Notamacropus eugenii: one gene and its partners. The protein of the gene in region 2 interacts with the protein of the main gene of each other region in a pairwise test. Links are inferred from orthologs where the notes say so. Each region holds a gene or a part of one and is shown on either strand. Other genes may lie near its edges.

Region 1 (7,700 bases), on a different chromosome or scaffold from region 2:
TAAAAAACTGAAAATTATGTTGACTTAGTTACCCTATGTTCCCAGCCCTGCTTATCAACCAGTGTTGGGGGAGGCTCTGGAGACACCAAGTCTGCAGCTTTCATATTACCTGCTCTTTGCCACACACCTCTACCTGCAAATTGTCATGTTCTTGCTACCTTGGGGGAGATGCAAGCACCCAATCTCTTTTGCTGAGGCAGACCTATCCAAAGTATCTTAAAGTTACTATAAAAGCTGTCTCTACCTTGAAGCCATTGCTGATCTCCAGTGTTGCTACTTTGACATACTTATAATGAAATTCTTTTCATTAATGCTCTTTGTCCTGAGTTTTGCCTTGTTAATCAGGGTGAAAGCTCAAATGAAGAATTTTCCTTTCAACAAAACCCCACATCAAGCAAGTCTATTGGCTCAATTTTTCAATAGCATGTGCTTACATTGTATCTGTGTCATATTTTGGTAATTCTTACAACTTTTCAAACTTTGTCATTATTATTATAACTGTTATGGTGACCTTGAGCAAGGATCTTTGATATTACTCTTGTTAATTGTTTTGGGGAACCATTAACTGCTCCCATATAAGACATCAAACAATCCAATAATGTTGTGTGGATTCTGACTACACCTACCAGCTGTTCCCATCTCTTTCTCCTCAGGTCTCCCTATTTCCGGAGACAAAACAATATTGAAATTAGGCCAGTTAATAGCCCTACAATGGCTGCTAAGTGTTCAAGTAAAAGCAAGAGCCAGTTGATGCAGCAAACTTCACTGCTGTCTAGTTTTAAGAAATTGCCACAGACACCTCAACCTTCAACCACCACCACCCTCACCAGGTAGCAGCTATCAACATGGAGGCAAGGCCTTCCACCAGCAAAAAAATTGTGACTCACTGAAGGCTCAGCTGATGATTAGATGATTCGATTTTTTAGCAATAAAATATTTTTTAATTAAGGTATGTGCATTTTTAGACATAACACTATTGCACACTTAATAGACTACAGTATATTGTGAGCATAACTTTTATCCACACTGGGAAACCAAAAAATTGTGTGACTTACTTTATGGCAATACTCACTTAACTGGAAATGAACCCACAATATCTCCAAGGTATGCCTATACAGATAAAGAATGGACTATCCATTCTTTGCCTTCTATTGTATAACATCTGTTCTGAGCCTTGGAAACTAGTATGGATGTTCTCCTTACTCAGTTTATTTTGCCTTCTTTTTCTCCACATAAAATGTCCTTTCATTATAGCAACCCTAGGAAATGAGTAGTTCAAGGATTACTATTGCCATTTTACAGACAAAGGAAGGAATGTTTAAAGATATTTAGTGATTGGCCAAAGTCATATCTAAGAAATGCTGGAAATGTAATTTGAATCCAAGTAACCAGTGTGTTGCTGTAATGGATATAGACAGAGGAGGGTGGCTCTTGGGTAATTGTTCAGTCCAAGTAGATTGGCCAACCCAACAGATGCATTCTCCCTAGGTCTGAGAATTTCATTTCTTGTAGCAACCACAGCCTTCAGATTTAGAAAATATCTTCAAAGAAGAATAGGTTGGAGGGCTGCAAAACAGAGCTTAAGGTTTTCTGTTGATTTGGGAAGAGAACATTATAAAACATCGTATCTGTTCTCTCCTAATACCTGTAGTCTTGAAAAAAAACACCACCACTATAGGCGGACGTGAAGATTTGACCTCTCCAACCTCCCCCTTTAGTGAGAGGTAAGCACCCTGCTCTCTAGAACGGAGGACCCCAGATCAGACCCATTCTGAGAAAGCTCTTTTCAAAATAGCTACAGTATATGACTATCTCAGAGTAATTTCTCTAGGGAATGGAGTGAAAATGGAGCAGGTAAAGAGGACTACCTGAGGAGAATCCTCCTTTCCAATGTACCTTCTCCATAGCTTATAGTATTAGAGGTTTAATGTTTAATTTAGTATTTGTATTTAATTTATTAATAATTTAACAATATTTAATTTAAGATTGCATATTAAAATGTAAATTGGGAAATATTTAACAAAATAAATAAAAATACAAAAAGCATGGTTTTCTAAGTCAACATGAGGCCCAGCAGAGATCCTAGGGGTCCCATTTATGAGTTTGACAGCCCTGGGTTAAACCCCTGAAAGGTTGTAACTTGCCCAAGGTCATCCAGTCAGCATATGTCAGAAGTGGAATAATGATAATAATAATAATGACTAACACTTATGTAATGCTGACTAGGTGCCAGGTACTGTGCTAAGAACTTTAATTATTACCTCATTGGATCCTCACAACTAGGTGCTATTATTATCCCCATTTTACAGATGAGCAAACTGAGGCAAATAGAGCTTAAGTGACTTGCTCAGGGCCACACAGTTGTAAGTTTCTGAGGCTGGATTTGAATTCAGGTCTTCCTGACTCTCAAAACCACCTCTCTCCCTACCATGCCACCATAAGAATAGTAATGATAACTGATATTTATATAGCATTTTACTCTGGGCTACCCACAGCATCCTTTAGTCTGTACCCTCCATCCTTTGGTTCATATTCTTTATGGTTAGAGGATTCAGTGATTATTTATTCCCTTTTTTCCTAAGCAGAGTGGGTCCCTCAAATCTATTAAGACAGGTAAAGGGAAGGGCCTCACTTGTTCTTATAGTTTCTGTTCTCTAACCAGAGAGTTAGAGAAGTTAAATGATCGATGATAAGGGTGGCAAGGGTTCAGGTTGGAAGGACTTTCCATATTAATAGAGGAGTTAAAATTTGATCCTAAAGGCAACAGGGAACTATTGGTTTTGAATGACATAGCTGGACCTAACACTTTAGCTGTGGTGTGGAGAGAGGTACCTGGAGACAGATTTGAAGAAGGGATATCAATTAGAAGGCTACACTAGGAGTCCAGGAGAGAAGCGATGTAGACCTGAACTAAGGATGGTTTCTGGGGAAACAGAAAGGAGGGAATGCATAAAAGTTTTCCAGTTGTGAATCTACTCCCCTATGCCCACACTCACCAATCCTGTACCTTCCAGGACTAAAGATTCCCTCCTTGCCCTCTACTCCCCTGAATGTGGTCTCCCTTAGGGCAAGAACTGTCTGCTTTTTTTCTTTGCCTACCCAGCATTTTCCGTATAGAAAGTGCTTAATAAAAATTTTTCCCTCATTCATTCATTCATGTAAAATCTACAAGACTTGAGAGCTAACTATGTGGGGTGTGAATTAGTAAAGAGTCAAAGCTAAGGTCTAGATTTTGAACATGGATGATTAGAAGGATGCTGGTACCCTCCATAGAGATATCACAGTTCTGAGAAGACTTAGATTGAGGGGAAAGATAAGTTTAGTTTTTGACATGTTGAGTTTGGGATGCCTATGGGACCTCCAGATGCCCATTCAAACAAACATTCAGGTCAATAGAGCAATTTCAGCTTCAAGTTTCACCACCTATAAAAAGAATCAGATTGGATGATATCTGTAAGGAGCACTTAAAACAACACCTGACATATCTGAAGTATCCAAAAAGTAATTAATGATGCAGGACTGAAGCTCAGAGGAGAGACTAGGTTTGCATATATAAATCTGGGAGTCATCTGCTTAGAGAGAATACTTGAACCCATGGGAGATAATGAGGTTAATAAAGGAGAAAGTATATGCAAATAAAGGATTCAGACAGAATATTAGGATACGTCTAAAAAAATTTGGGGTGAGGGGGTGGTTGGGTGTGACACACGTGATGATCCAGCAGAGGAGACTTTAGAGAGGAGAAGGATGATGATTGAGAAGAGGCCATCAGATGTGGCTCTTAAAAAGACCACTGGTAACCTTGGAAAGAACCATTTCAGCGTGCTTGGGCAACAGCTAGGACAAGAACAGGGAGGCTGGCTTGTTGGGGAGAGGGGGAGGTTAGTTGGAAGAACCTCCTTATGAAGAGACCGCCATTTTTGGAGGAGGACGAGGAGGAGGACGAGGAGGAAGGGGAAGGAGAAGAGGCTGCACCTTTCCCATCCAGTTCTCGGGCCCTTCCTCGTACTCCTCCGAGAGTTGTCTTTCATCCTCCATCCAAACATCATTCACAGGTTGACCAGCCCAAGACCGCACATCTCGTGTCCTTCTAGCCACCCCCAAGCTCCGATTCCTGCCCTTTTTCGACCCCCACCCCTCCCGGGACTGCCACCCGGGCCTGGAGGGGGGCCCTAGAACCTCAGCACCTTTCTGGTGCCGGGCCTGAAGCACACCTGACCGTTTGGCCCCGCCCCCCGGAAGGCCAATCGCCCCGCCCCGTCCTTCTCAGTAACCAATCCCTGCCCCGTCCCCTCACGGGCCCTCCCCTCTCCCTCCCTCTAGCTGGCCAATCTCTGCCCCGCTCTCCCAGCCGGCGACCGCCATTTCTAGTCCGAGTAGTAGACCCCCCAAGTCTGTGGAGCCAGGTAGGCGGGAGTCTTCCTTGGCGCCGAGCCCCGGGGTTGAACGGCGAGAGGATAAAGCAGGAGAGGTCCGGTTGAGACAGGTGGGGCGCCGCGGGACCACCATGGGCTCCGGGGCCGGCCGCTGGCTGGGCAGGTGGGGGTGGGGAGAGGAGAGCGGCCCAGTGGTTGCCGGGGCAACGGGGACGCGATGGGGGCGGGGTGGGGATTTGGAGCCGCCAGCGCGCTCCGGTCCGGGCCTGGCTTGGCTTAGGTGGAGATCTGAGGAGGCTGCTGCCTAGACGGTGCCGGGACGTGGAAGTGCCCCAGGTGCGAAAAGAAACTCGGAGGGTGCAGGGGCCCACCTCTGCCCCCGCCTCGTCTACTTGGCCCTAGCCTGGTGGGCCGCGGCGGGGACGTCACCTAGCGGCGTGATCCCGGTACTACGGCAGGGATGCCGAGCCTGCGAGTCCATCCAGGTTACAAAATCAAGGATTTTGTTTGTTTTTAACATTTTCTTTTAAATTGGGAGTTCCAAATTCTCTCCCGCGACCCCTTCCTCACCCACTGAGAAAGCAGGCAGTAGATTAGTTATACAAGTGAAGTCATACAAAATGTATTTCCAGATTAGCAAAAAGCAAGAAAAATAAAAGTGAAAAAAGTATGCTTCGATCTGCACTGAGATCATCAGTCTGTAGCATTTTTCTCCGTGCCTACTTTGGAATTATCTTAGATCATTGCATGGATTACAGTAGCAAAGTCACAGTTGTTCGTTACAATATTACTAAAAATATGAACTTGTTTTTTAAAAAAAAATGTATAACTATTTCAGTATAATTCAGCCTGCTACATTGTCACAGTGATGCAATGTTGGACTTGGAGCTAGGAAGACCTGTGTTCAAATCCTGCTTCAGGCACTTACTGTGTTTCTTAACCTCTCAGCCTCAGTTTCCTGTTAGGTTTAAATATGATTACGTAGGTAAATGTGCTAATGTAGTTTCCTTTGTATTTTACTTTATGCATTTAAAAACATTACTCAGAGAAGGGTTTGTCCATTGATTGTCCAAGGAGACCATAACACATACACACTAAGAACACTATTTGAGAGCTCCTTCTGGGCCAGAAGGGCCTCCAGCAAAGCCCTCTTCCATTCAAACATTCCTGCAGATGAAATTCTAATATGACCGCCTTTCCATTCATTCTTTATGCCATATCTTAGTCAGAAAGTATCCTTGTAGGGAGTCCTTACCAGCAAAGCCTCTGTCACACACAGCTATTATCTGACCTTCATTCCCTAAGTCCAACTCTCCACTTAAAGTCTGACCATCTGTAAAATGTGTCAGATGAGGTAATATCTGTAAAAAGTACTTAGCACACACAGTAAGTGTTGTATAAATATGCGTTCTCTTCCCCTTCTCTACCTGCCATACCTGTTTTACTACAGAGGGTTGTTGTGAGGATCAAATGATGACAACATTTAAGAAAGTCAGTCAGTGAATGAATGGAAAAAAAAAACATTTATGAAACACTCTCTCTGCAAAGTGCTACAAGCTAGGAATACAGAAAGAAAAGCTGGACAGCCCCTGCTCTCCACAAGCTCATTTCCTATCAGGAGAAATAACACATATAGGAAGGTTCAGCTTCAGGACAGATGGAAAGTTCTCTTGGTCTTTAGGGAGCAGTAGTTCAACAGATAGTTTTTGTCAATTTAATGTTTCAGCTTATAAAATCATATGTGATTTTGACGTTGGACTGTTTGATATCTACCAGTGCCTAGAACTTCGGTGTCCAGGACTTACTTATCTGAATCTTTAGTAGATATAGCTTTTGCAGAGGGGGTAACTTTAGCACCAGCCAGCAGAATCAGTTGCCAGGTTGCATCTCCAAAAGGGTTGGCTGAGGGCCAGTGGTCTGAGAGACCAATGCTGTTACCAAGGCTTGTGGGTATACTTGCTCATAAGTGGCAGTTGGTTAGTGGTTGGTGTTAGTGTTTGGAACTACTGCTAACACTAAGATACATACATTTTATTTTTCCCCAATTACGTGTTAAAACAAATTTTTAACATTTTAATAATCTTTTTGAGTTCCAAATTCTATTCCCCCTTTCCCTCTCCCCTCACTGAGACAGTAACAATCCAATATAGTTTATGTATGTTCAATCATGTAGAACATTTCCATTAGTCATTTTGTACAAGAAGACTTGAGTTGAAAGAAAGAGAAGAATAGAATGCTCCATTCTGTATTCAGACAGTATCAGTTCTGGAGGCAAATAGCAGATTTCATCATTAGCCCTCTGGGATTGTCTTCAATCCTGTATTGCTGAGAACAGCTTCATTCACAGTTCTTCATCATGCAATACTGCACGATGTTCTCCTTGTTCTGCTCACTTCACTTTGCGTCCGTTCGTACAAGTTTTTCGAGGTTTTTCTGAAATCATCCTATCATTTCTTATAGCACAATAATTCCCATCGCCATTATGTATCACAGTTTGTTTAACCATTCCCCAATTGATGGCATGCCTTTGATTTCCAGTTCTTAGCCACCACACAAAGAGCTGCTATAAATATTTTTGTACAAATAGATCCTTTTCCTTTTGTTGGATGTCTTTGGGATATAGACCCAGCAGTGTTCTGTATCAAAGGGTATGCCCAGTTTCATAGCTCTTTTGGCATAGTTCCAAATTGCTCTCCAGAATGGTTGGATCAGTTCACAACTCCCCTAACAGTGTATCAGTGTCCCAGTTTTCCCATGTCTCAAACATATGTCATTTTCCTTTTTTGTCACATTAGCCAATCTTTTACATAGCATTTTAAAGTTTACAAAGTGCTTTCCTCAAAAAGTCAAGCCAACAAGCATTTATTAAGCACCTGCTATATGCTAGGCACTATGCTAAGCTCTGGGGCTACAAAGGAAGACAACAGGCAAGCACCTATGTACAAATAAGCTATGTACAGGATAAAGTGGAAATAAAACAGAGGGAAAAGACTGGCAATAGAGGGCATAGGTAAGGAAAAGCTTCTAGAAGGTGGCATTTTAGTTGGGACTTCAGGGTAGCCAGGATGAGGAAGGAGAGAATTTTAGGCACAGGGGACAGCTAGTGAAAACACAGAATTGGGAGACAGAGTGTTTTGTCTGAAGAACAAACATCCAGGAGGCCAATGTCACTAGATCCCAGAGTTTATGATTGAGAATAAAGTGTAAGGAGTCTGGAATGGTAGGAGCGGGGCAGGTAATAGAGATTCAAGCACCAAATGAATTTTTCATTTGATCTTGACAGTAATAGGAAGCTACTCAGGTTTATAGAGGGAGGGTAACATG
Region 2 (8,344 bases):
CTGGAAGTATGGGGAAACCAATGGACTTTTGAGAATGTTTTTAAATGCATTAATAAAATACATAAAGGAAACTAATTATACTGAAATACAGTTATCAGTTAGGTGGCACAGTAGATAAAGTGGCAGATGTGGAGTCAGGAAGATCTGGGTTCAAATCTGGCCTCAGACACTTACTAGCTGTGTGACCTTGGGCAAGTAATTCAATCCTGTTTACCTCAGTTGCTCATCTGTAAAATGAGCTGGAGAAGGAAATGGCAAACCACTCCAGTATCTTAGTCAAGAAAGTATCTTAGTCACAAAGAGTTGGACATGACTAAAATGATTCAATAACAAGTTATCAAAATAAATATTTAAAAAAACTAGTTAATGAACTCAGATTAAGAACTATAGTAGTGAATAGTTGGCTTTAGCATAACTTACTTAGCTTCCTCAGAGTTCCTCACAACTGGTTACAATCTACCTTCCATTTTTTAAATTAATTTCTTCATTATCCTTTAATTTCTTCTTTTATACTGATTCTTATTTTCACGTGAAATCAATGCTTGCCCATGAAAAGTTGTACGTGTATGTTTGTAGCTTACCAGATGATCAGAGATGATGGTTACATGAATGATCTAGCCTGTCTAGCCATTGCAAAAAAGCCATCCCAGGACACAGATACAGATACAGACACAGGAACAACTGTAGTTTATTCACTCAGAGTGAGACACACATCAGTAAATGATGAACATGTATGTCTGTTACATTTTGACTAGTGTAATTTATACCAATTTCATCATTCCTTAGATGAGACTTGCTGGTCACAGTAGAGGTAATATCTATTTGTTACAACAACAAAAAAAGGATGCTTATCACTTATTACACAAGAAGGAATGTGTCTTTGTTAGTATAGCTGTTCACATGAGATCAAAGGGAACCACCTATACCTGATAGACAAGATAGAGAAAAGGGACAGAATTCCTTCAGCTACCAAAGTCCTCCTTTGCAAAAAACAAACAAATCCTTTTACAACAATTAGATGTAGAAAGGGAAGTCAGCCTACAGTAAAGATAAGATAATAAAATGGCATCTATAGAAAAAATGTAATTAGGTCATCTCCCAACAGACCACTCTTCACCCTCCAAAATTCATTCAGCTATGGGAAAGTCAGGTGCAGCTTGATTACTAAGAACTTAAGCTGCTGTGAAGTTTTCTTTACAGCTTGCAGTCTAGAGATTGCCTAAGTGCTTATCATGTACTTGGATCTGGAAAAGACTTCAGAGGTCAACCTCCTCATTTTACAGATAAGGAAACTGAGGACCAGAGAGATTAAGTCACTTGGTCAGAGTTACACAGGTATTATTCGAGGGCAGAATTTTAACAGGCCTTCTAGTCTCCAAGTCCAGTGCTCTGACTACCATGAACTATTGTGATTTTAATAATTCATACATTTAGATAAACTTCCTGTAATGGGGATCTGGAATATGTGCAGAATGCTTTGGGATGATGTGCCAGGTGAAGAGACTGGAGATTATCTGTATCCTGGAGAGTCATGATGATATGTAAGAGACATGATTTGACAAGATTATGGAGCATATGAAGACATAAAGTAACCTATTCTGATCTGCTTTGATTTCCTGTCTAAGGGCTTGTGGCTGTGAATAACAGACCTCTGTTCTTTGTTATTGCTATTGTTCATTGGTTTCAGCAGAGCCCTACTTTTCATTGACTGGGTATAGGCCCAAGTTGAGACCTTTCCCCCTTACTCCAAAAGAATTTAGGTCCCATTTGTCTACAAGCTCTGGAAACCCCCTTGAACTCTCCTTGGATCTTCCCACTTGATCTGGTTTGCCTGAGGCTACAAGCCTTTCATTATCCCTCTGCCCAAAGCTCTACAACACTTAAACCTAGCCTAGTCTTCCGTTACCTATTACATTCAGATCACCTGAGGCTATTTCCCACCCTTAATCTTATCTTGGTTCTAGGCCTCCGACCACTAGTCACTGGAGACTACTGGCCACTCTCCTCAAGACCTTCCCTAAACCCCTACTTTGCCAACCCTAGATCTCTCCCACAGTCTTTCTGTATATAAGATCCATCTAGGCCTTCATGAATGTGCTCAAATTCAGTCTGACTCACTTGCCATTGTAGATGTTGTAGTCTCAGCTTCCTTAAGAGTCTGGCCAATATGACAGATTTTTAATAAACTTTATTTTTCTTTGGCTGAAAGAAGGCATGGGTTGAATTCATTTGGGCAGGACCTGCATGCCACCATTTTGGTGTCCCAGAACCACTAAACTTCAACATTCATGACCCCATTTGGGGGTTTTCTTGGCAAAGATGGTGAAGTGTTTTGTCATTTCCTTTTCTAGCTCATTTTTACAGATAAGGAAGCAAGGTTTTCTGACTCCATGCTTGTGCTCTATCTACTGTGCCACCTACCTGCCCCTGTTCTTTGCCTTTTGCATCTGAAATTTTCCAGCAGGTAGCTAGTAGCAGAATGCTGTGTCTGGGAGCCATCAAGACCTGAATACTGCCTATGAAGCTAGCTGGGTGACCCTAGACAAGTCCTTCAACCACTGAGTGTCTCAGTTTCCTCATCTGTAAAATGAAGATAATAAAATCTACTTCTAAGGTTTTGAGGATATATAATCTTATACTTGTAAAGAATGTTGCAAGCTTTAAAGTGCAATCATAAATACAAGCTTAAAAGGTATTCTTAGTTGAAGGGTTTTTCAGTTGTGTCTGACTCTTCTGACATTTGAGGCTTTCTTGGCAGAGATACTGCAGTAGTTGGTCATTTCCTTCTCCAGCTCATTTTGCAGATGAGTAAATTGAAGCAAACAAAGTTAAGCTCAGAGTCACACAGACAGTGCCATGGAAATGATGAGGGCTGGAAAGGGGGTGTGAGACCCCCACAAAGACCAGAGTATCAGGGGCAAGTCATCTGGAGAAGAATTCACAAACTCAAGTACTGTTGAAATCAAGGTAAAGATTTATTACACTTTTCAGCAGGCAAGAGTTCTTAGACAACCTGCAACCTTAAAGGGGTACAGGGAAAGTTTATATAGCATGTTCTATAGTATCACTTGTGCCAAATATGCTAACTAGGTATTTTGGGGTAGGATTAGGGAGTGGTTAAGGAGTGGTCAGTTCTTAAAGGAACATGCACTTTTGATATCTACTGTGCAGGTATTTTACCCAGAATTCATCAGGAAATAGCAGGCCTGAAACGTCAGCAAGTCAACCATCAGTCAAGGCTGACCAGAAATAACCAGGTTTCTCTCGTCAATGACTTGTTAGACAAGATTAATGCAAGGGAGTATAGGAATGTCCAAGTCTAGAATACATATGATTGGTCAGTGAGTAGTAAATGTCGTTATGACCCAGGGCACAGTCCGTTCAGTACACAGCTGGTTCAAACTAATCAGTTCTATAGGTGCATCTGGCTACCATAGCAGGAAGGGAGATAACAGGCTGTTGTTTTAGGGCAGGCTGTGTCCTTGGGCTCGGGAGAAACTGCCTGAGATAGTATTTTGAGACTAGGGAGAAATGTGATTTTTAAAGAGAAATGTGATTTTAGAATTGGGGCCCAAGTACATGCACCCAAACAACTCATCAGAAACACGGAACATGAACCTGGACATCCCCTGAGAGGGGATGACAGAGGGGCTTGTAGAGTGCTGTGGTCCATGGGATCACAGGAAGAGAAGCATGGACTTAAGGAATGAAGAACAACCACAAAGGTGGATGGTTAATTTCAAATTAACTCCAGAAATCCTGGAGTTGGAGTCTAGGCTCATTTTTTGTTTATTGCCAACCAGCCTTGTTGGGCTTCTTTAGAAGCAAAGCCCAATTTCCAGTTTCTGGGGAAGGGAGGACTCAAAAGGTAAATTATGCTGCATCTGGACAAGAACTTGACAGGGCCAATGCTCTGTAGGAACTGAGTTTTAAGGGGGAAATATTTACACTTTGGTTCCAGCTATTGTCTTTGGGGTAAATGCCCCGTGCTAAAAGTTAATTGATATTAAGTGGTTAAATAGAATTGCTGCCCAACCTGGAGAGAGGGGGGAACTCCACCGGTTCAGGATTCTGCCAGGTGGTTATGGAGTCCATCAGGATCCCAAAGAACCCTGAGGGGATGACATGAGAAGCCTGGCTCTGGGACAGCTATGTTGTCTTCCTGCTGCATTCCCAAAGGCCAGAATCTTAAACTGAACTTGGGAGTTTTCTCTTCTGTCTCAGCACAACGCAAGTTATTGTTTCACAGCCAGGGCCAGCAGCTGAAGCTAAGTTCCCCCCAAATCCAGTGTAAGAGAAGAGAAAAGGGGTGGAGGGGGAGGTGTGGTCAAAGGGGAGGCCCCGCCCAAGGAAGGACTTGGCCCCGCCCACGCCTACAAGCTGCTTAACTATCCTTGGCTAATTGTCCCCCATAACACCTACCTTACAGTGTAACCAATCAAAATCTTACGGCTCAAATGATTTTTTTTTTTTTACAATCAATTCCCATTCAACGGGAATAAGCAGGAGAGAATTAAAAAGGCGCCACCTAGTGTTAAGATCATGAGAGGCTCCACCCAGTCATAGATCTGTTTTCCGAAACCGCTCCCAGACCTCGTCCCCGAGAAAAACAAAAGCACACCCCACTCCTTAGCAGGCCCTCAGGATGGGTTTTCCATTGTAGATTTCCTCCTGCTTTTTAACCCACTCAAGGGTCAGACCAAATAGGGCTCGCTCCTCTGGTCCCTATCACCACATTTCTCCTGGCTTTCAAAGTTCTCTGCACGTTCCACACCTCCCAGGTCCCGGCCCTTGCCAAGAACACAGTCCCGCACCCCGATTCGCGCATGTTCTGTCAATCCCTCCCATTCCCCGACCACGCCCCTCTACGCAGCCTCTAGATCCCGCCCCTTCCGGGCCTGGCGCGTGCTCGAGCAAAATTCCTTTGGCTCTTCTCTTCGGTGCTTTCCGGGAGCGCGCGCGCTCCACTTTCAGCCGACCTTAGATTTTTTTTTTTTTTTTTTTGCCGCTGGGCGAGGGAGTAGAATTGCGGGAGGAGGGAAGAGAAGGAGGCGGGGCGCTGACCATTTCTCGAGCCGCGATTGGTCAACTGGGCGACGACACGTCCGGAGTAGAAAAACTCTTGAGTGCGCGCAACTCACGGGGCTGGGGGAGGTGCCGGGCGGAGCGCAGGTAAAGGGTTAGCACCGGGGCTGGGCGGCGGTGGTGGGACCAGAGGGAGGAGGCTTGATTCTGGCCTCTCGTCGTCCCTCCGAGAAGATGGGACTGGAGGCAGCCGCTGCCACGTCCTCTGGCACTTAGTTCATCCTGCTTGTTCTCATTTGCCGCCGGGCTTTGGGGAGGATGGGGAGGAGGAGAGGGCTGGGATAGGGGGGACTCTGGGAGTCCTCCCTCGTGCGGCGATCTGCGTGAAGACAGAGATTAGAGATTGCACAGTCTTCCGCCCTTCTTTCCCCGCCTCGCACCCCGTTAAGTGGCATTTGGCAGCGGGGAACCGACCCAGAATTTTAAAAGTTGGGGTGCTTTAGGCGGACGCTTGCTTAATAAAGCGGGCCCTTGAGGGATTCGAGCTTCGAGGCTAATTCTTCCATTGACAGTGCTGCGTTCTCGAGCAAATTATTTAATCTCTCCCCGTGCAACATTTCTCTCATTTGTTGGAGAACTATCAGAAAGCCCTCTTGTCCAACTGGTTAAGGAGGTGAACTCAAGGACGTTGACTTTACTTGGATGAAGGGAGCCGTGTGAACAGGAGTAATGTTTTGAACATCGTTTTCCTAGGGTTCTTCATCTAGAAAGTAGCGATAACCCAGCTCTGTTGGTGAATTACCTTTTGGTCCATGAATCAACCGAACAAAACAGAAAGACATAGTGTTACAATGTTACAGTCATGACAATGTGGTGCAACTTTGTAACCTATTTTTTTGTGAAAATGTGCCTAAAGCACTTTTCTGTATGTGTGGGAGTGTTATTTAAGCTACACGATGATAACAAAGGCTAGCTATTATTTGAAACAAGATCATGAATTGAGATTCTGAAATCACAATTTTACCATCACCTTTCTTTATTGTTGCTTGGGAATCTCTAGTCTAGTTATATTATTGGACATTTGGCTCTAAAATAATGCTGTATTTTTTTTTTTTTTTTTTTTTACTGTTATCCCTCCTCCCCCTTCTGGCCTTCACAGCTTTTAGGATGACATATTTTGTGTATCAGAGAATAATAAAGGTATAGCTAAGATTTTAGGTATATATGGTGACTATTTAGGATTATAGGATCAAATGCTTTTTGCTGTTCTCTAGGAAGAGGTAGAGAAATTTTGTTTAGATAATTTTACCTTCAGGTGGATTTGTAATTAGTTGAAGGGCTTATTCAAAAAGTAGTTATTAATGGTTTGGTATCAACTCAGAGAGGGTTCTCCAGTGGATGGATGGAGTGATTGGTCCTGTGCTATTTAACATTTTTATCATTGATTTGAATCAATCATTCAGTGAGCATTAAGCTTGCTCCCAGTTGAGAGGAGTTAAGGAGACTGGATAAGTGATTTGGCCTGGGGTCACATGTGTCCTGAGGGTCACATAAGTGTCTGAGGTTGATTTTGAACTCATCTTCCTGACTCCAGGTCCAGGGCTCTATATAGTCTCTCTTGCCTCTAGAAGGGAATAGAGCTGTTCCCTTTGGCCCCATCGGTAAACTACGTGGAAGCTGTTAAGCTTTAAATTTTGGTTTGGTGTTAGGAAAAATTTCCTGTCAATTAGAACTATCCAAAAGTCAAATGGATTTCCTTGACGGGTATTCTTCCTCAATGAAAATTGTCAGGTAAAGGATGAATGAGCAGTGAGTTTGTCAAGAAAGGGATTCTTGTTTGAGTATAGGGTTGGACTAGGTCCTCTTTGAGGTCTTTTCTAACTTTTGGATTTTATGTTTCTGTAACCTCATTTTAGTTGAAATCCCTAACTTTAGAATTGGGGAAAGTGAGATTAGAGTGAGAGCTAAGAAGATACCTGAGCACCAAGACTAAGTTCCCTGTGTGGGCCATCTGGAAAAGAATTCTCAAACTCCAGCATTCTTGAGGTCAAGGTAGTAAAGATTTATTAAGCTTTTCAGCGGGCAAGAGTTGTTAGGGAACCTGCAACCCAAAAAGGGTCCAGTTCAAGTTTATATAGTATATTCTATAGTATAACCTGCCAAATATGCTAACTAGGTGATTCAGGGCAGGATTAGGGAGTGGTTCAGGAGTGGTTAGTTCTTAAAAGGAACATGCACTTTTAGTATCTACTTCACTGGTACTTTACCCAGAGTTCATTGGGAAATAGCCCAAAGAGGGGAGGGCTACATGGAGGTGTGGTTTTAGGCCTGAAACATCACTAAGTCCACTAATGGTCAGGGCTGACTGAGAAATACTCAGGATGCTCCCATCAATGTCTTGTTAGACGAGATAAATGTAAGAGAGTGTACCTGTGTCTAAGTCTAGGACACCTGTGGTTGGTTAGTGAGTAGTAAATATCTTTAGGACCCAGTTCACGGCCAATTCAGCCAGCAGAACACAGCTGGTTCAAACTAATAGAAACTGTAGGTGCAACTGGCTACTGTATCAGGAAGAGAGATCTAGGGTGCAATGTCCTTGGACTGAGGAGAAACTGCCTGGGATAGTGTTTCGACGATAGGGAGAAATGTAATTTTGGAGAGAAATGTGATTTTAGAATTGGGGACCAAGCACCTCGTCAAAAGCATTATAGATTTTGAGTTGGAAGGAACCTTAGAGGTCTTCTCTAAATCCTTCATTTTAGAGATAAGGGAACTGAGGTCCAGGAGAGGTTACAAAGCCAATATTTGAACACAGGATCCCTAGCACCAAATCTGTGCCACTTTCTGTGCTGTTTTACACTATATTCCAAATGACCTATGAGTTTTTGAGTATAATAATGATTTTTAGTGGGATCAGTAACTAGATTTGTTCTGTCCTTTGTTCTCAAAGGACCCTCCTCTCAGGAGGGTGTGGGAGAGTTTGACCTTTTTAAACCATGGTCTTTTCTTGGTCTCAGTTTGTCTCAGGCAACACCCCTTCAGTGCTTAAAGCTTGTAGGAAATGAGGCCAAAGATCACCTAGTTTGCCTTCTCAAAAGAATCGTTCTGTGAGAAGAGGACCCTTAGGGCTTCTGGCCAGTAACGACAACAATTACTGTTTCCACTCACTTTGAGCCCTCTGAAACCAGGCAATAACCAAGTGAGGCTTGAGCTGGGATCTATTATTGGCCAATCAGTGAGAGCCTGAGTGATTTGAGTTTAAGACACAGTCAAGTAGTTTCATTTGAATCCCAATGGGCTTTATCAAAGCCTTGTTTTT
Region 3 (7,759 bases), on a different chromosome or scaffold from region 2:
TAACGGTCTCACTGATCTTCTCAAGTGTAATAAATATTCTAAAGTTCAACAACTAGCTTTAAATGAAGCAATCAATATCAATTTCAAAATTTAACACAAACATCAAAGACTTTAAAAACCCACATGGCATGAAAACCTGATATGTAACATGTAATTAGTACGTATTCAAACTAGTTTCATTTTAACAAATTAGATTTTATTCTACAAATTTAAGTTTCTTCAAATACAGGTCTATAAACTCTGCCAAACGTGTGGAGATACAAATGTAAAATAAATACAACTAATTAAACTACGGTCAACATGTAGTACGAAATAAAAAATCAAAAAGTAAGAGCCTATGTGTTCTCTAAGGACAAAACACTGCCTACTAAACTGAAAGTTTAAAAATATACAAAATTATAACCACTCAAAATGAAAAGCAAACTTTTTTAATCTATGTATTTTTAAGCTAATTATGGGTGTCATTTATCTCTTCAAAATCAGTGATCACATTCAAAACACTGAACATGATGATCCTTTAAAGACCCTGTGGGAAGACCACAACCTCTTTTCATATTCCAAGAGCTTTAATTTTTTAAAATGAATCTACACTGGAAGAAAACCTGTTCACTATAAACAGTCTTAGATTCCAGGATGAAAATATCTCACTAAAAAGATCACCTTTTTCCCCCTCATCGTTCCATGAATTCCATTTCAATGTCGTTGAAAATAAACGTTAAAAGCAAAAAATAAAAATTCATGGTTTTAAGACTACCTTGCTATCAACAATAAAAGTAAAACTAAATAATAAATTCTGATGGATAACTTGGGGCTAAACAGCGGACCTACCTTATGACCCATTCCATTAATTTTGAGTTACTATTTCTTTAAAAAACATTTTTGAAGTGACTTATTAAGAATAGGTCCAGAGATCAAACTCAGATGAAACCTTAATAGGAAACTTTGAAAAGACTATGTGTCAATTAGATTTCCAAACTCAGACCTAAGAAAAAAATCTGGACAATCCTTTCACAAGATAATAAGTTAAGAATTCTTACTATAAAAATGTTCTTTTACAACTACAAAGGTTTCTGAAATGCAAAATGCCTTTGATATCAGCTGATATTCTCCATAAATACAGACTCAATATATAAGCAAACTTTGGACAGAAAAGAAAAAAACCCAAAGTAGTGAAAGAATACGACCAGACATTCAAAATATTGTTAACATTAGAAACAAAATACATGAATTAAGCTAGGAGTCCTCTCTTCTAATGAGCATAATTGGTGTTAGAATCCTTTTATAGAGCTTGATCTAATAAAAATAAATGATGGAACCTGTTTTCATCCAAGATTAAAAGGCTGAGACCCTTCCCGGGCAAAAGTCCTTTTCTACTGACTTGGGGGAAGGAGGACAAAGAAGGAAGTGCTTGCTTTCAGATGTATATGGACAGAGTTAAGTTCCCAAAAGATGGACCCTGGCATATAAGGTTTTTCTTCTGGACACACCAAGATAGTTTTCTCATTCTAATTTTGCCACTCCCAAACAACTCCCATGGGGACAAGGAGTACACAGGAATACTTGTATTCATTCAGTTATGCATAAACAAGTATTTCTAGAAACTCTGAATTCAAGTCCTTAGAATACCATGGTAATAAATCAGTCACCATTAAAACGAGTCAAAGAAACCAATATTAGAAGTAGTAAGGTGTACTTTGTAACTAGGAAATAGAAAAGGAAGCATTAAATCCATATTAAGATTTGTACAACTATTTTTAAAACCTATCCTTTTACTACGGTTACTCAGATTGGATGCTCTGAAGCACCTCCATTTCATTAGTTAGAATCACCCAATAGTCTGTAGCAGTGCAGACACTTAGGACTCTGAAGAGCGCAGTGGTTTCTGCACTGTACCACAAAAATACACAGTCATTCTTCCATTCATTTTGGCACTTGAACAAACATACAGGTCAAAGTTCACACACATGCTCTGTGGAAAAGACTCATCTGGAATACTAACACAATATACAAACATCCCAAATGTATAAAGTAGCTAGCAAAGTAATTTTTTTTAAATCACAGGATACTATGTCTACTTGCAAAGATGTGGCATTTTTTTCATATGATCATTGCAGACTCAGTAAGTTTTTAGGCCAGATGTCACCCTAGTAATGATTTCAATAGAATACTAAATTTCAAAAGTAACACTACTACTTATTACTAAAGTATCATAATAAGAAACTTAAAAGAGATCATGATCAGAACGTAATTATACTAAATATTCTGCTTCTATTTTAGGGAAGATACATAAAAATTTCCAATTAAACAATTCCATACTCTGATTATCATATGGTAATAAGTAATGCATCATCTATATCTGTTTTAAGTGGGGGAAAACTGTTTTGAGAGATCAGCATTGTTGCATGACAAACCATAAGAACATTACCAGACTGTAACATACATGAAGCACTAATAGTATGCATCGGTCTAGAAGGAACAGGAAGAATTTTGGCCAGCTGGAAATTTTTAATCATTCTTTGAACAGTCAATGATAATTAAATCACCCATCATTCTTGTTCAGAAGATAGTCGGTGAACCTTCCTATTTTCAAATGCTCTTTTTCAAAGATATTATACAAGTAAACTAAAAGGGACATAATTAAGTTTAGTCTACAATTTAAGCCACTGAGGCAAATGGCTTAAAGAGATGGTGTCTACCAACCTTTAGAGATTATATAAAAACACAGTACTGTAATCTGTTCTCACCAACCACTGTCACTGGCTAAAAATATTAAATTCACCGAAGAACTGCCTGCCCTCAGACAAACCCTGGAAGGGTCAATGCAGAGGCCCATTCCTGGGGCACCTGGAATGAATCATTGATTTCAACTGAAAAAAATCTCTTCCCTCCACTAGGACACTGAGCCACCATGTTGTCCTGGTCCCTTTCCTGCCTACCTTTCATCCAACCCATCTAAGAAGAAATCCCCCCAAGTATCGTCCTCCCTTTTTTCAGCAGTGCCCAGGGATCTTTCCCCAAGAACAGATGGGGGAGCCCTCCGGTCCGGGCCCCCGATCCCCCACCCAGCAGGGCCTGGGGCAGACCTGCTTTCCGTCCGTTCTCTTCCCACCTTTCCCCTTCCCCCAACCCACTTCCCGGGGTTTCTCGGCCTCGGCCTGCTCCTTCCCGGCGCCGCCGCAGCCACACTTCCTGCAGCGGCGGCCGTGGCGGCCGTGGCCGCCGGGCCCCTTCCCCAACACGGTCCCCCCCAATCCCAGCCTCGCCTTCCGCCGCCCTCCCGCCGGTGACACGGCCAAACCGGGGCCCAGGGCGGGGGGTGGAGGAGGGAGGCCGCCTCCCGGACACGGCGCGGAGGGGAGCCGGGCGTGCGGGGGGCCGCCCGCGGGGGGCCGGGGGGGTCGAGGAGGTCGTGCCTGGGAGGGGAGGAGGCGGGGGGACGGCCGGGAGTTCATTCCTGACCTCCTCGCTCTTCAGCACCTCCTTGAACTCTCGCTTGATTCGCTGCACCGCAATGTTGGCCATGTCTCCTCCCGCAGCCGTTTCGCACCCCCCGCCTCCGCCGCCGCCACGACCGCCGCCGCCGCCGCCGCCACCTCCGCCGCCTCCTCCTCCCTCAGCGATTCAGACCCGAGCAGGGGAGCCGTGCCGCCGCCGCCGCTCTCTCCTCACAGTGGATTCACCTCCGCGCCCGGCCACCAAAATGGCGCTGGGGCCGCGCATGCGCATGGCGATCGCCCAGCCGGGCGGCGCAGCGGCTCTCGTTGGAAGCCCCCAGGAAGCTTCTGAGCCGCGAGCCCGCCAGCCGGCCGCGAGCTTCAGCCCGTGCGCCGTAGCGTGCGTGGGGTGGTCCCGGGCTTCCGTGACGCGCGCGCGCACACTGCTCCTTCCCCCTCCCCCCCTACTCGGGGATGGGGGCTTACCCGGAGGGGCCCCTATTCAGGCTTCGCCCCTTTCCTTTAAACCCTTCCGCCGGCTGCTAGGCCCTGGCCGCCTCCCGGACCTTGCCCGGGGACTTGGCGGCAGCAGGCGGATCAGCGCACTATGAGGACCCCCTCATCCCCCCAAACGCTTCCCAGTCCATCTCCCTGCAGCCAGCCGGGCGAGGAGAGGAGGCTTTCCGGAGAAGAGAGAAAAGAGGCACCGCAGAACTCCGACCTTTCCTTCAGGGGGCCCTCCTCAAAATCGCCGCCGCCTTTTTTTTGGGTTTATTTTAGGATAAAATCAGGACAGCCCTAACAGGGAATTAGGTTCTCCTTTCTGCCGCCACCCCCACCACCCATCACAAAAGAGTGCTGACGAGGCGCTAGCGGGATACTGCCGCAAAGCCCCCCCGCATGGCCCGGGCCAGCCCGTCCGCAGAGCAGCCGAGAAGCCGCGACGCAAAGCCCGGAGCGGCCTGGAAGTCCGGGCCAGCTTGGCCAAGGGGGTGGAGGCGGGCGGCTTCCCTGGCCGGCGCCCGTCCGGCCCGGGAAGGGCTCGCCATCGAAGGCCTGCCGAGGGGGCTGCGGCCCCCAAGGCAAGAGCTAGGGAGGATTCGAGGCCGGAGTGGGACCTTCGGGTACGGAGCCGGCTGGAGAAGGACTAGACAGGGAGGGGGAGGGGGGCGGGCCGCCACGAGCTTATCTCGCCTCCAGGGACCTGTCTTTGGGTGGGAGGCTTATCTCCAAAGAGCGAGGAAAGATACAATGTTACCGATGTGGTTTTACACAGTGTGCCTAATAAAGACAAGATGTATCCATAACCGCTACAAAAAAATGCGGCGGCAGAAAGGGAAACGAACGAAACGCCCCAAAAATATCCATTTCCCAGCTGACTAACGTCAGACATCAGAGGCTCCCAGCAGAGCCCCCTCGTGGTCCAGAAGGGAGCCGAAGTGTCTTATGTGGGTCACGGTGCGTGAACAGCCCGGCCAGACGACTACACGGAAGTCGGGGTTTGGGGGTTGGGGTTTTTTTTTTTACTTTGTTACGCAAACCTCTGCGTCTGCGCCTGGACCGGTTTTGATCCAAGGGTTTTGGGGTTTACACGCCATCAAAGGGGCATTAGGTCTCAGCCCATAGACACGTCTTCAATGCAAGTCCCCAGATTCCCAACATGAATGAAATTCACAAAATACCAATAGTTCTTTACCAGAATTTTAGGTTTTTCTATAAAGCCATCCGCCAACACCACACAGACCCTTCTGAAAATACGGTAGTTCACCAAGATGATCAGTTTACGAGTTACTCGGCCACCTCAGGTAACATTTTTCTTTTACCTCTTAGTAAGGTAGCGTGAATTATCTTGTGTAGTCGATGTGATATAACTCCCTTATTAAACTTTCACAAAGGCAAGGGCCGGCCGGCATCTAACTTAATGCTGAATTCCTCACATATCCACGTACCCTTTTACTAGGAAAATAAATGACTGTTGCCTTTAAGTTGGGATCCCAGATTGAAAGCTGGGAAGGTTCGGTCCAACCCCCTCATTTTGAAGATGAAGAAACAGGCCCAGAGGTGGAGACTCATTCAAGGTTACAACAGGAGTAAGTGGCAGAATTATTGGGTCTTGAATTCCTATCCTCCGATGCCAGACTCAGCAGCATTCTATAGTAGAGAGGTATTTAATAACTACTTATTGAACTGAATTTTTATTTTAAGGGCTGAGATTTCACAGGATTTCCCATCCTGTGTGCTGCTGGTGTTGTTACAGATGAGGGAAAGGGTTTGGATTGAGAAATGGATTTTCTAATGGCTTGGAGTACTGTGGTAACTTTTGTTACCACTTAAAGGCCTGTTTGGTTTGTTTGTTTTTTTCTGCGATACATTTTATTTAGACTTGACAGAAGATTCCTAACAAAGCATCCTCCAAACCCTCCCTTATTTCTCCAATACAGTTCAAGGAAATAGTTAAACAAAATTGCCTTGTAGACTACTAAAAGTTTTGACTCAGGCCAAATTAAATACCATAGTGTAATAAGGTATGATTCCCCTCTAACGGCACAAGTAGCCTCCACTATTTTAGAATACTAGAATAGTCATGATTTTCCTTTCAAAGAAGAAATAAATATTCAAGATTTCTTTTTTCACTCTTGCATTGATCTTACTGCTCAATTCAGGCACTGTGCTAAGGGTTGGGGATACAAAAAGGCAAAAGACAGTCCCTACCTTTAAGAACTTCACATTCTAACTGCCTTTCTGGGTTGAAGTTTTTTATTCATCCTGCAAAACAGTTCTTTTTTATCTTCATTCTTTTCCTGACAAAGGACATCTGGTATTTTGCCAGATTCTTTAGACTTCTTTCTCTTTCTTTACTTTTACTTCCATCCCCCTCATTTGATTCTCTTTGAAAAATCTCTTTACTTCAAAACATTGAACTCTAAAATAATTTTGCTTTCACTGCACTGACTGTTAGCATACTGTTAGCTCTACCCTTAGCATACTGTTAGTTTCCCTGGGCAGCTGGAATGGGAAGCTCCAGCTGCAGGAGGAGAAGGCTACATTTAGTTCCAGACAGTCAAACTTCTAAACTTAGCTCCAGGCCAGTGGGGCACCAGAGGATTGATTGTGATGCATGCTGCATTATTCCAGACTCAGAATGCATTAGAAACCTGACCAATGTGACTTTTAAAAGATTTGCAGAGTGAAGCAGAAATGTTACAAGGCCAGCTTTGCAAGTGCAGGCTCCCAGCAGAGCCATAATGGCCATCATTATCAAGATAGTAGAAAATGGGGATGTCTCTGAACAAATTCAGAGTGCTTGGAATTCATAATAAAATTTTTCACTCTTTTATATTAGACATTAATAATAATGTGGATTCTAATAAATTAACCTCTTACTGTATTTATTAATTTGGCTTTAGGAAAGTTTAAAATAATATTTACCAATGTAACTTTCAACATTTTTGTATACTTGATTAAGCAAAGCAACCTTAGACCCTAGTGGAGATAGCCCAGGATCCTGAACCCAAGAACCCAGCAAATAGCAATGTACTCTAGTGTATGGTGTACCCCAGGTCCACTGGACCTACATACCACCCAACCTCCATAGCTATCATGAGGGGATAGATCATAGTGGAAAAGAGATCCATCTTTCCTCATCACCAACAGCATCTCTCAGATGGAATGAGGAGCCCTGGGAATGGCAACATCTCCACAGCAACATAGGCCTCACAGTCATCCTCTAGGAGGGCAGCACCTATGGAGAAGGAACCAGTTATCTCCACCAACTGTCAACCAGCTGCCACACACAGGACAGGCAAGCCAGACTCACTGAAGCAGCCAGGCATCCTAAAGTAGAAATAGGGAACAATTGTGCTAGGCAAGTCAAGTTTGTCAGATCCCTGACAAAGACAAGCCCAAGACTCTGACCAAGAGCCTGGGAAATAGTAACTCTTCCAGCGTTATCCAAATGCCATCATCCTAACAGTCAATTCCTCTGGGGATACATCCTGGCAACTACTTATGTAGGTGCTGTAGCCGCAGCTTTTAAAGATGGGGGAAAAAAAGTCCTTGACACTGCCAAATGGTTCAACATCAAGAATAGGTGAATTTATCAGTGGAAATGATATTAAAAAGGAGACACTAGCATCTGCTTTGCCATTGTACCCTAAAGACCGTAGGACTTTTCCATGGGACTTGTACCCGAAACCTTCCATATGTATTATCTCCCCTATTGGAATGGAGCTTTCTGAGAGCTTTTCTATTTATATGCCGAGTGCTACACACATAGTAAGCACTTAATAAATGCTTTATTAATTTATCCATTTATTCACCCTACT
Region 4 (8,043 bases), on a different chromosome or scaffold from region 2:
TGGTAGGAAAGGGGCACTGGTTCGATTTTTAGACCATTCTAGGCCTCTATCTTGACACATTCCCCTTTCTAAAGTGGCCTGAAGCCCACTGAGCTAGAGGAAGAATTATCTAAGGTACCAGAGATAAATGAGAGAGTCCAAGCTATCGATAAACTGAAATCAGCAAACAGTTTGCGAGATATCTCATATCATGCAAATAATATATTCCTTACCTACGTGTCATTTTGGCTTAGATATGGCAAATCACAGAACAAGATTCCACTCTTCCCTGCCTGTATACAGTCATGTTCACGGAAATATGGAGCAGTGTTTATCTCAGACTTTTCACAGAATGCCTATCCAGAAGTCATCCCAGGTCACTGCTAACTTCAACCAGCCCACCTATACTATAAAGTCTGTTGGCCTGAGTTACTACCATGTGTCTGGTGAGCACTGCTAAGAAAGCCTCCTAATAGGTACACTGGGGAGGTACAAAAGAACAGTATCCTTTGAGGTATGACTATTTAACAGAGAAGACAGGGCAAAGGTGAAAATGTACAATTAAAGATGGCAGGAAAAAAATGTACATCCAACTGCTGATTAGACACATTACTATAGAATGAAGAAGGTCTTAGACTTAAAGGAGAAGAGGGGGACCCCTTCCTGCAGGCCACTTACCTTTTCTTTTGGCAGAGTTACTTTTTGGCTTCTCCATCTGATTAGCAAAGTTCTGGTTCCTGAGAAAGAACAGCTATATCACTGGGCTGGAAAACATCTCATTTCTGTACTATTTTAAGTATTCTTATCACAACTATATAGAACTCTCAGTAAATTACAAACCCTCCTCTCCATAACCTTGATAGATCTTAAGCTGTTTCCCCTAGGAAGTGAGCCACCACAAGGAAGACACTGTATTTCCACATTTGTGTCTACATTACAAAGTCAAATATAAACAATTTTTTCATCATCTACTACTTGAGGAGCATCACTGCCTCCCTCACCTTCACTCTACTAATACAAATGATCCAGTGGTGACAAATAAACCAGTACTACCTTCCTGCTTCTGGGCACACGTATACCTACCCCAACCCAGATTTGTAAGACTCTTGAAAAGAACATTTCTGTAAATAACACCCTACCCATACCTCTCAGTGTCTTCCTTTACAGCTAAGAACTCTAGGCTAGCTAATTTGGACAATGTCAACCCTTCCTTCCTTTTCTATCCTACAAGGAAACAAAAAACAGTATTGCCATGATCCCCACAACCTCCCCAACTATCCCTACACAACCTTTTCAGTATGTGGCAACAAAAAAAGAAGGTGATCTGGGAGACTTCAGAGTTCTTAGACAAAGAACAGAGACTGGACCTGTGATTTTTATTGGTATGAAGAATTCTCAGGTAAGGAAATAACTTGTTCCCTGCAGTCATCACCTTATCTGCACTTGATCTTAGAGAATTGAGAAGCTAAGTGCCTTGCCCAGGCCACACAGCCAGGATGTATCAGAGGTGAACCTAGGTCTTCCTCATTTTCCAGAGAGGTCTCTACCACTTTGGCAGACTGCCTCTCAGAGTTCCTCCAAATACTTAATACCTAGCACAGAGTTCCAAAGAGTACAAAGAGCTATGAAACATTACTATCATTTACTTCCACAGAGGCCTAGATTCTGGTTCTGACATTTACTAGGTGTGACAATGCAGCAAGTCATCAAAAATGGGAGCCTCCATTCACACAGCTACCACTCTAGTACAGGTCCTCATCACATGACCAGGGTCTATTACAATAGACCTGCTGGCTTGGTCCCCACCTCAAGTCTCTCCCCAGTTAAGTCCCTTCAGCCAAAGGGATCTGCCTAAAGCTCAGGTCTGACCTATCAACCCACTACTGAAAAAATAATTCTGTGGCTCCCTATTCCCTCCAGGATCAAATATAAACTATTTTGTTTGTCTTGGAAGGTCCTTTTCAACCCAGCCCCCAGGACCTTTCCAAGTCTTCTTACGCTTTTTTCTCCTTCATGTACTCTACAATCCTACTGTCTTGTAGTAGTTCACGGAACAGTTACTCCACCTCCACACTCCGTGCATTTTCACTGGTTGTTCCCCAAGCCTAGAATGTTCTTTTCATGTTGCTAGGCAAGCCTACTATGTCTCTCTCACCCATTCACCATCCAGCTCTCCACAGAGGCTCTTCCCAATTTTTTCATCCCTCCTCAAACCTCTCACAGTTCCCTTCCACCATCCTCTCAGCTAAGAACCTTGCCTTCTATTTTACAGAAAAAAAAGATCGAAGCTATTCACAATAAACTCCCTCTTCTCACCCCTTCCTCATCTCCTATCATTTCCTGATCTCTTATCACTCAGAAGAAGCCTTCTGCCATTACCTGCTCTTCACCTGCCTCACATGATGAAATGGACTTACTCTTTACCAAGGTTAACCCTCTACCTGTTTAAGTGATCCCACTCCATCTCACCTCCTCCAACAGATTGCCTGCTCTGTTATTCCCCACCATAATACTTACTTTTCAGCTCTGGCCTATTCGTTACTGCCTACAAGCATGCACGTCTTCCTCCACCCTCAAAAAACCCTCACTTGATCCTTCCATCTCCACTAACTATCATCCTATATATCTTCTACTCTTTGTGGCTAAATGCCTCAAAAAGACCGTTTACAATAGGTGCCTCCACCTTGTTTCCTCTCACTTTGTTCTTAACCCCCTTACAATTTGGCTTTCCACCTTATTCCACTGAAACTGCTCTCTCCAAAGAGCTCTTAGTTGTGAAATCCAATGGACTTTTCCCAAACCTCATCCCTCTTGACCTCTCTGAAGCCTCTGACACTCTCTCCTCCCTAATACTACTCTCTTCTGTCTAGGTTTTTGGGACACCACTCTCTCCTGATTCTCCTCCTACCTGTCTGACTACTCCTTCTCTATCTCCTTTACTGGATCTTCATCCAGGTTACTCCCACAAAAGGTAGGTGTACTTCAGGGTTCTTTCTTTCACTCTCTTCTTTTCTTCCCTCAATACTACTTCACTCGGGGATCTCATTAGCTTCCAAGAATTATCATCCCCATCCTAATGAGTCTCAAATCTACCTATCCTGCCCCAAACTCTCTGCTGATCTCTAATTTCACATCTCCAAATGCCTTTCAGCTCAAAATGGATCTCCAATAGGATCTCTTAGGCTAAACATGTCCAAAACAGAACTCATTGTCTTTCCCCCTCAACCATCCCCTTCCTCTCCTGCTTTCCCTATTACTGAAACAGCCTGTGCATGGGTCTTCTGGAATCAAGTCTCTCTACTCCAATCTATCCTCCATTCAGTCACCAAAGTGATCTTCCTAAATCACAGGTCTCACCATGTTTCTCCCCTACTCCATAAACTAAAATGCTTTGTTTAGTATTCAGAGACCCTCATAACCTAGCCCTCTCCTACCTTTCCAGTTTTCTTACATCTTATTCCCAGTCAGCACTCTTCGGTCCAGTGACACTGGCCTCCTGACTGTTTCTTGAAGAAAACACTTCACCTCCCAACTCAGGGCATTTTCTTTGGCTCTGCACCATGCCTGGAAAGCTCTTCTCAATTCTCCCTAATGACTCACCTGGCTTCCTTTAAGTCCCAGCTAAAATCCCATCTTCTGCAGGAAGCTTTGCCCAAACCCTCTTAATTCTAGTGCTTTCCTTCCATTAATATTTTCCTATTTATTCTGTATATAGCTTTTGTTGTTTGTATGTTATCTCCCCCGTTAGACTGCAAACCTCTTGGGCATAGGAACTATCTTTTACCTCTTTTTATACCCTCATTGCTTCCCACAACGCTCGGCATTTATTGTTGATTGATTGGTTCTTCCTCACCTGCTAGCTTCCTTCACGATACCTTAAATGCCACCTTCTGCCTTCTTCCTCCCTCCCCCTAGATGTATTCTGTATGTATACAGCTGTTTGCATGTTGTCTTCCACATTCGAATGTGAGTTCCTACAGGGGAGCGCCCGTGTTTTTGCCTTTCTTTGTACCCCCAGCACTTAGCACAGTGCCTAATGCTCGCTGCTGAATAAATCTGTTGATGAGCGAAACGAGGGTGCTCCAACTACATGACTGGCAAGGCTTTTGTATGAAAAGGGCACTGTACATTTTTAGGTGGTATAAAATTGTGAGTTATTATTACTGGTTATCACGTAAACAGCAATAGCATAAGAAGGCAAAGATTCGGTCACAAAGCTAACTGGGCAACCAACTACAAATCCCAGCACGTACAGGGAATGTACTGTTATCCAGTCCTGAAGACTACAACTCCCATATCACCCTGCGGCAAAACGTCACGTTTCTGTCTCAAATGCCGGTTGACGTCTCGCCCATACGCCATTCCCTCACCTTTGCTGGGTTCGAACTGACTGATTGAAGGCTGTTATGTCTTCCTAGTTCTTCAGAGGCCAGGTAAAGCAGGAGGAGATGGTTCAGTTCACTCACTTGCTATGTAAAACAAAAGCATAAACTCTCCCCGCTTCCAGAGCCCCACCCAGGAGCTGTTGCGCTTGCGCGCTGAAACACCAACCAATCAACTGCCTGCGCTAAAGCGGCTGCGTGAAGGGCACCGGCAAGAGTCTGCACGCGGCCCGGCCGGGAGCGGTCATCCAATTGCGCCTGCGCTTGAGCTGCCCCTCCCCTCCGTTCGGCACGCTCTCTACCTAGCTTGCATAGCCGTTCGGGCCAGAGAGGCGGGACCGTAGGTACCGATTGGCTTATATTGGTGCCTGTCAACGAGACGTGTGAGGGGATTGGCTGCAGCACAAAGGATAGCACGTTTAGGTGTAGGCGCTGTAGCGGCGGCGCTGCTCGGGCACCGCATTCTGGCTCTATCTCCAGAAGGTTCCGCCGGTTCACCTAGCTCCCGGTTCCCGGCTCCGCGCCGCCATGATGGGCCATCGCCCCGTGCTCGTGCTCAGTAAGTCGTAGGGGACTAGAGGCTGACCCGACCTTTTGTGCCATGCCTCCCCACACCCATTTCGGAAGGCCCCTGATCCCCAGGAATCCCCCCGCAACTGATCTCTGCGCGTCGTTTCATTTGCCCGTAGTAATGCCCGGATCTCCCGCGGGTGCGGGATCCCTGGCCCTTCGGTCACTCCCCCCCACCCCCAGGACTTCTCTCCCACTGAGGGAGGCAACCCCCTGCGCGCTCCCTGACCGGCCTCCCGATCCAGGGCCCAGGACTGCCTTCTGGCCTTGCAGATCTCCTCGATTCATTAATGCCTCTCCACGTGATTTCTTCCCCCCATCCGCCGCAGATCTCCCTGCCCCCACAAACACATCCTTGTCCTGAGAGGTAGCGGTTCGACCCCTAGAGGGGCCCTTCTCTTCACCGTAGAACGGAAGCAGACCTGCACCCCCCGCCCCACCGGGTCGTTGGGAGGAAAGCGGTTTGTAAAAGCCCCTCTCACTTCGGGGTTCTTTCTCCTCCCTCCATCAACTCCCCGAATTTTTTCCCAGCCCGTGTCGAGTTTTGTTCTTTGAGTTATAGAGGCTGTGTTGTCCTCAGACCGTGTTCGTGGGACCCTGACACGGACTCAGGACGCCTTAGAAGTGACTTGGTATTGGTAGGAATTGCGGCCTCCATACTTTGTGACCTGGGTTGTCTTACCTTGAAGGATTTGAAGATCCTGAAGAGGTAGAACAATTTGATCATGGCTCTAGAGCCGGAAGGAGGAACGTGGGAAGTCGTCTAGTCCATACAGCATCCTCCGCTGCTACCTAGGTTGCTTCAGTGCCTATACATACGTATCTAGGCCGTATGGCATTCTCAGCCGCTGCTCTGGTTACTTCTGTACGCACACCGGAACACTTTTAGTAACGCTAAACAGAAAATCATCTATTAAAAACTTTTCTCCCATTTTTCTCTAACGTCATTGGAATTTGTTCTAGTGAAAAATAAGACCAAAAATATGAGGGGAGTTCTGTAAGTTATGAGATAATGTATTTTTTTTCTCAGTGATGTTGGGAAAATGTCTCTTTCGTGGCTAACTCTCCCTTATATATATCTTATGCCTTGTCTCCTGGGTTAAAAGGTAAAACTCTTTGAGGGTAGATTATCCCAATTTTGTATTTGTGGCTCTGACTCTTAGTACAATGCTTATCAAATACTAATCACTTGATATAAATACTTTTCATTCATCACAAGTGTGAAAAAGCAAAGGCAATCATGAGACATTGTTCAACTGTTTTGTTTTTCATGCATTTCAGGTCAGAGTACAAAACGGGAATCTGGAAGGAAAGTACAATCAGGGAACATCAGTGCTGCCAAGGTATCTTTCATTAGACCCCCTCCCCCCCAGGATTGTTTTAGTCTTACAGTTTGACTTGATTCTCTTTTTTCTGAGTATCACAACAATCCCTCAGTGATATATATACACAAGTAAAGTCAGTAAAGCAAAAAGGTGATATGTGAAGTGAGTGAAAGCTGGTGTTTTATAACAGAAGTTTACTTGCCTGGCGGATTGTGAATGGAATGGACAGTCCCTTTAGTGTCTGACTATTGGGCATGGAAAGCTCAGGGAAACATTTCTTAAGGACCCCAAACTCATCTGCCAGTTAGTTCAACTAGGCTTGTTGGGAGTTCTCCCACATTGACAAAAGTAGCTGTGTGGCCCTCTTCTCCCTCAAAACAGTTTGACACATTCACCTGAAAGATTTTTGACTCTGAGGGTCAGCCATAACTCTTTGTCATTTCTCCTCTTCCTTCCTACTCCCACTTCTGACATTCATGATTTCTTTTGTATATGGAGCTCCAGTTGCGAAAACTACCAGTACAAATAGAGAACTGTTGTACAACTTCTTTATCTGTCACTTTTATTGAAGTTAAATATATATATATATTTAAGGCCACATTAGAATTTGCATATCTATACCTTTTTTCCCATCAGACTATTGCAGATGTCATCCGAACATGTCTGGGACCTAAGTCCATGATGAAGGTAAGTTTAGCTCTTTTAGCAACACTCAAACTAAGAAATACCTCAATTTACCCACCCCTGGTATATTCAACTTAGTGAACATACATCACCAATGTCTTCTGATTTTTTCTTAGATGCTTTTGGACCCAATGGGTGGTATTGTGATGACCAATGATGGCAACGCCATTCTCCGAGAGGTTTGATTTTTATTTTGCGTTCTTGTAGTTTCATAAGTGAAATGGAAGATATTAGCATGCTTTTCCTAAGAAGATTTTGTAGGTGATAAGGGCATTGTGCATGCATTTTTCAGAAAGAGAATTTAAGGGGTGGTTACATAGATAATAAAGGCTGAATTCTCCAGCTTTTACTATGTAGGATCATTTTTATTTGTAATCTTCTTAGAAGCAGAGTAAGAAAATACACAAGTGCATATCTCCAAGGTAGAGAGCTGAATTAGGGACAAGCAGGATAGACAGAAAAAAAGATGTTGGGAATTGTCTTGAATTGTCTTGATCCTCTCCAGATTCAAGTCCAGCATCCAGCAGCCAAATCAATGATTGAAATCAGTCGGACCCAAGATGAAGAAGTTGGTGATGGGACTACATCAGTGATTATTCTTGGTAAGATACAGGGAAGTTAATGAAGGGAAACAGAACACAGTATGAGTAAAATGCTGTACAGATGTATGATAGTAATACAATTTAAATAATTTCTGCTACTTTTCTACATAACCTAATAGATTCAAACATGGAAGGTGAACTTTTCAATCCTAGTTTAGTGATATATAGACCATTTGGCATGGTAGGAATAGCACTAGATTTTTAGTCAGAGGACCTGACTTCATATTGTAAATAATAACCTTGCAAGTCATTTGCCATCTGGTGACTTCATTTTCCTTATCTGTCAGAGGAGGAAGGCTGTACGCATTCCACCTAGGGTAAAGCCATTGTCTTAGTTTGCATTAACTGTCTTCCACTTCACATAATATCTCTGGTATTCTCCTTACCTTCCTGAAATCTTTTGTGCCACTTTTGCTATACATTGATACCATTTCTATATAAATTTCTGTTTGTTGCAGAGTTCTACCAAGAAATACATATTTTTTGTTTAACAAATGAATC

Evidence for each region.
Region 1: the proteins of MIPOL1 (region 2) and TTC12 interact in binary tests that used the Homo sapiens proteins (3 or more experiments, as listed by UniProt). The two-hybrid records come from large-scale screens. The link is inferred for Notamacropus eugenii from reciprocal best matches to the Homo sapiens genes MIPOL1 and TTC12.
Region 3: the proteins of MIPOL1 (region 2) and UBE2K interact in binary tests that used the Homo sapiens proteins (3 or more experiments, as listed by UniProt). The two-hybrid records come from large-scale screens. The link is inferred for Notamacropus eugenii from reciprocal best matches to the Homo sapiens genes MIPOL1 and UBE2K.
Region 4: the proteins of MIPOL1 (region 2) and CCT3 interact in binary tests that used the Homo sapiens proteins (3 or more experiments, as listed by UniProt). The two-hybrid records come from large-scale screens. The link is inferred for Notamacropus eugenii from reciprocal best matches to the Homo sapiens genes MIPOL1 and CCT3.

What each region holds. Positions count from the first base shown.
Region 1 is NC_092876.1:140,188,269-140,195,968, reverse strand, and holds the start of TTC12 (tetratricopeptide repeat protein 12), read left to right. Parts: upstream 1-4,309; 5' UTR 4,310-4,406; exon of another isoform or gene 4,407-4,486; intron 4,487-4,614; exon of another isoform or gene 4,615-4,712; intron 4,713-7,700. UniProt on the Homo sapiens protein: Cytoplasmic protein that plays a role in the proper assembly of dynein arm complexes in motile cilia in both respiratory cells and sperm flagella.
Region 2 is NC_092872.1:330,684,289-330,692,632, forward strand, and holds the start of MIPOL1 (mirror-image polydactyly gene 1 protein), read left to right. Parts: upstream 1-5,048; 5' UTR 5,049-5,172; intron 5,173-8,344.
Region 3 is NC_092877.1:93,757,623-93,765,381, reverse strand, and holds the start of UBE2K (ubiquitin-conjugating enzyme E2 K), read right to left. Parts: upstream 3,546-7,759; 5' UTR 3,523-3,545; coding exon 3,460-3,522; intron 1-3,459. UniProt on the Homo sapiens protein: Accepts ubiquitin from the E1 complex and catalyzes its covalent attachment to other proteins. In vitro, in the presence or in the absence of BRCA1-BARD1 E3 ubiquitin-protein ligase complex, catalyzes the synthesis of 'Lys-48'-linked polyubiquitin chains.
Region 4 is NC_092873.1:380,398,424-380,406,466, reverse strand, and holds the start of CCT3 (T-complex protein 1 subunit gamma), read left to right. Parts: upstream 1-4,525; 5' UTR 4,526-4,889; coding exon 4,890-4,920; intron 4,921-6,212; coding exon 6,213-6,274; intron 6,275-6,892; coding exon 6,893-6,943; intron 6,944-7,056; coding exon 7,057-7,119; intron 7,120-7,445; coding exon 7,446-7,542; intron 7,543-8,043. Other genes in the region: TSACC (TSSK6-activating co-chaperone protein), read right to left, coding at 658-716, 1,269-1,408. UniProt on the Homo sapiens protein: Component of the chaperonin-containing T-complex (TRiC), a molecular chaperone complex that assists the folding of actin, tubulin and other proteins upon ATP hydrolysis.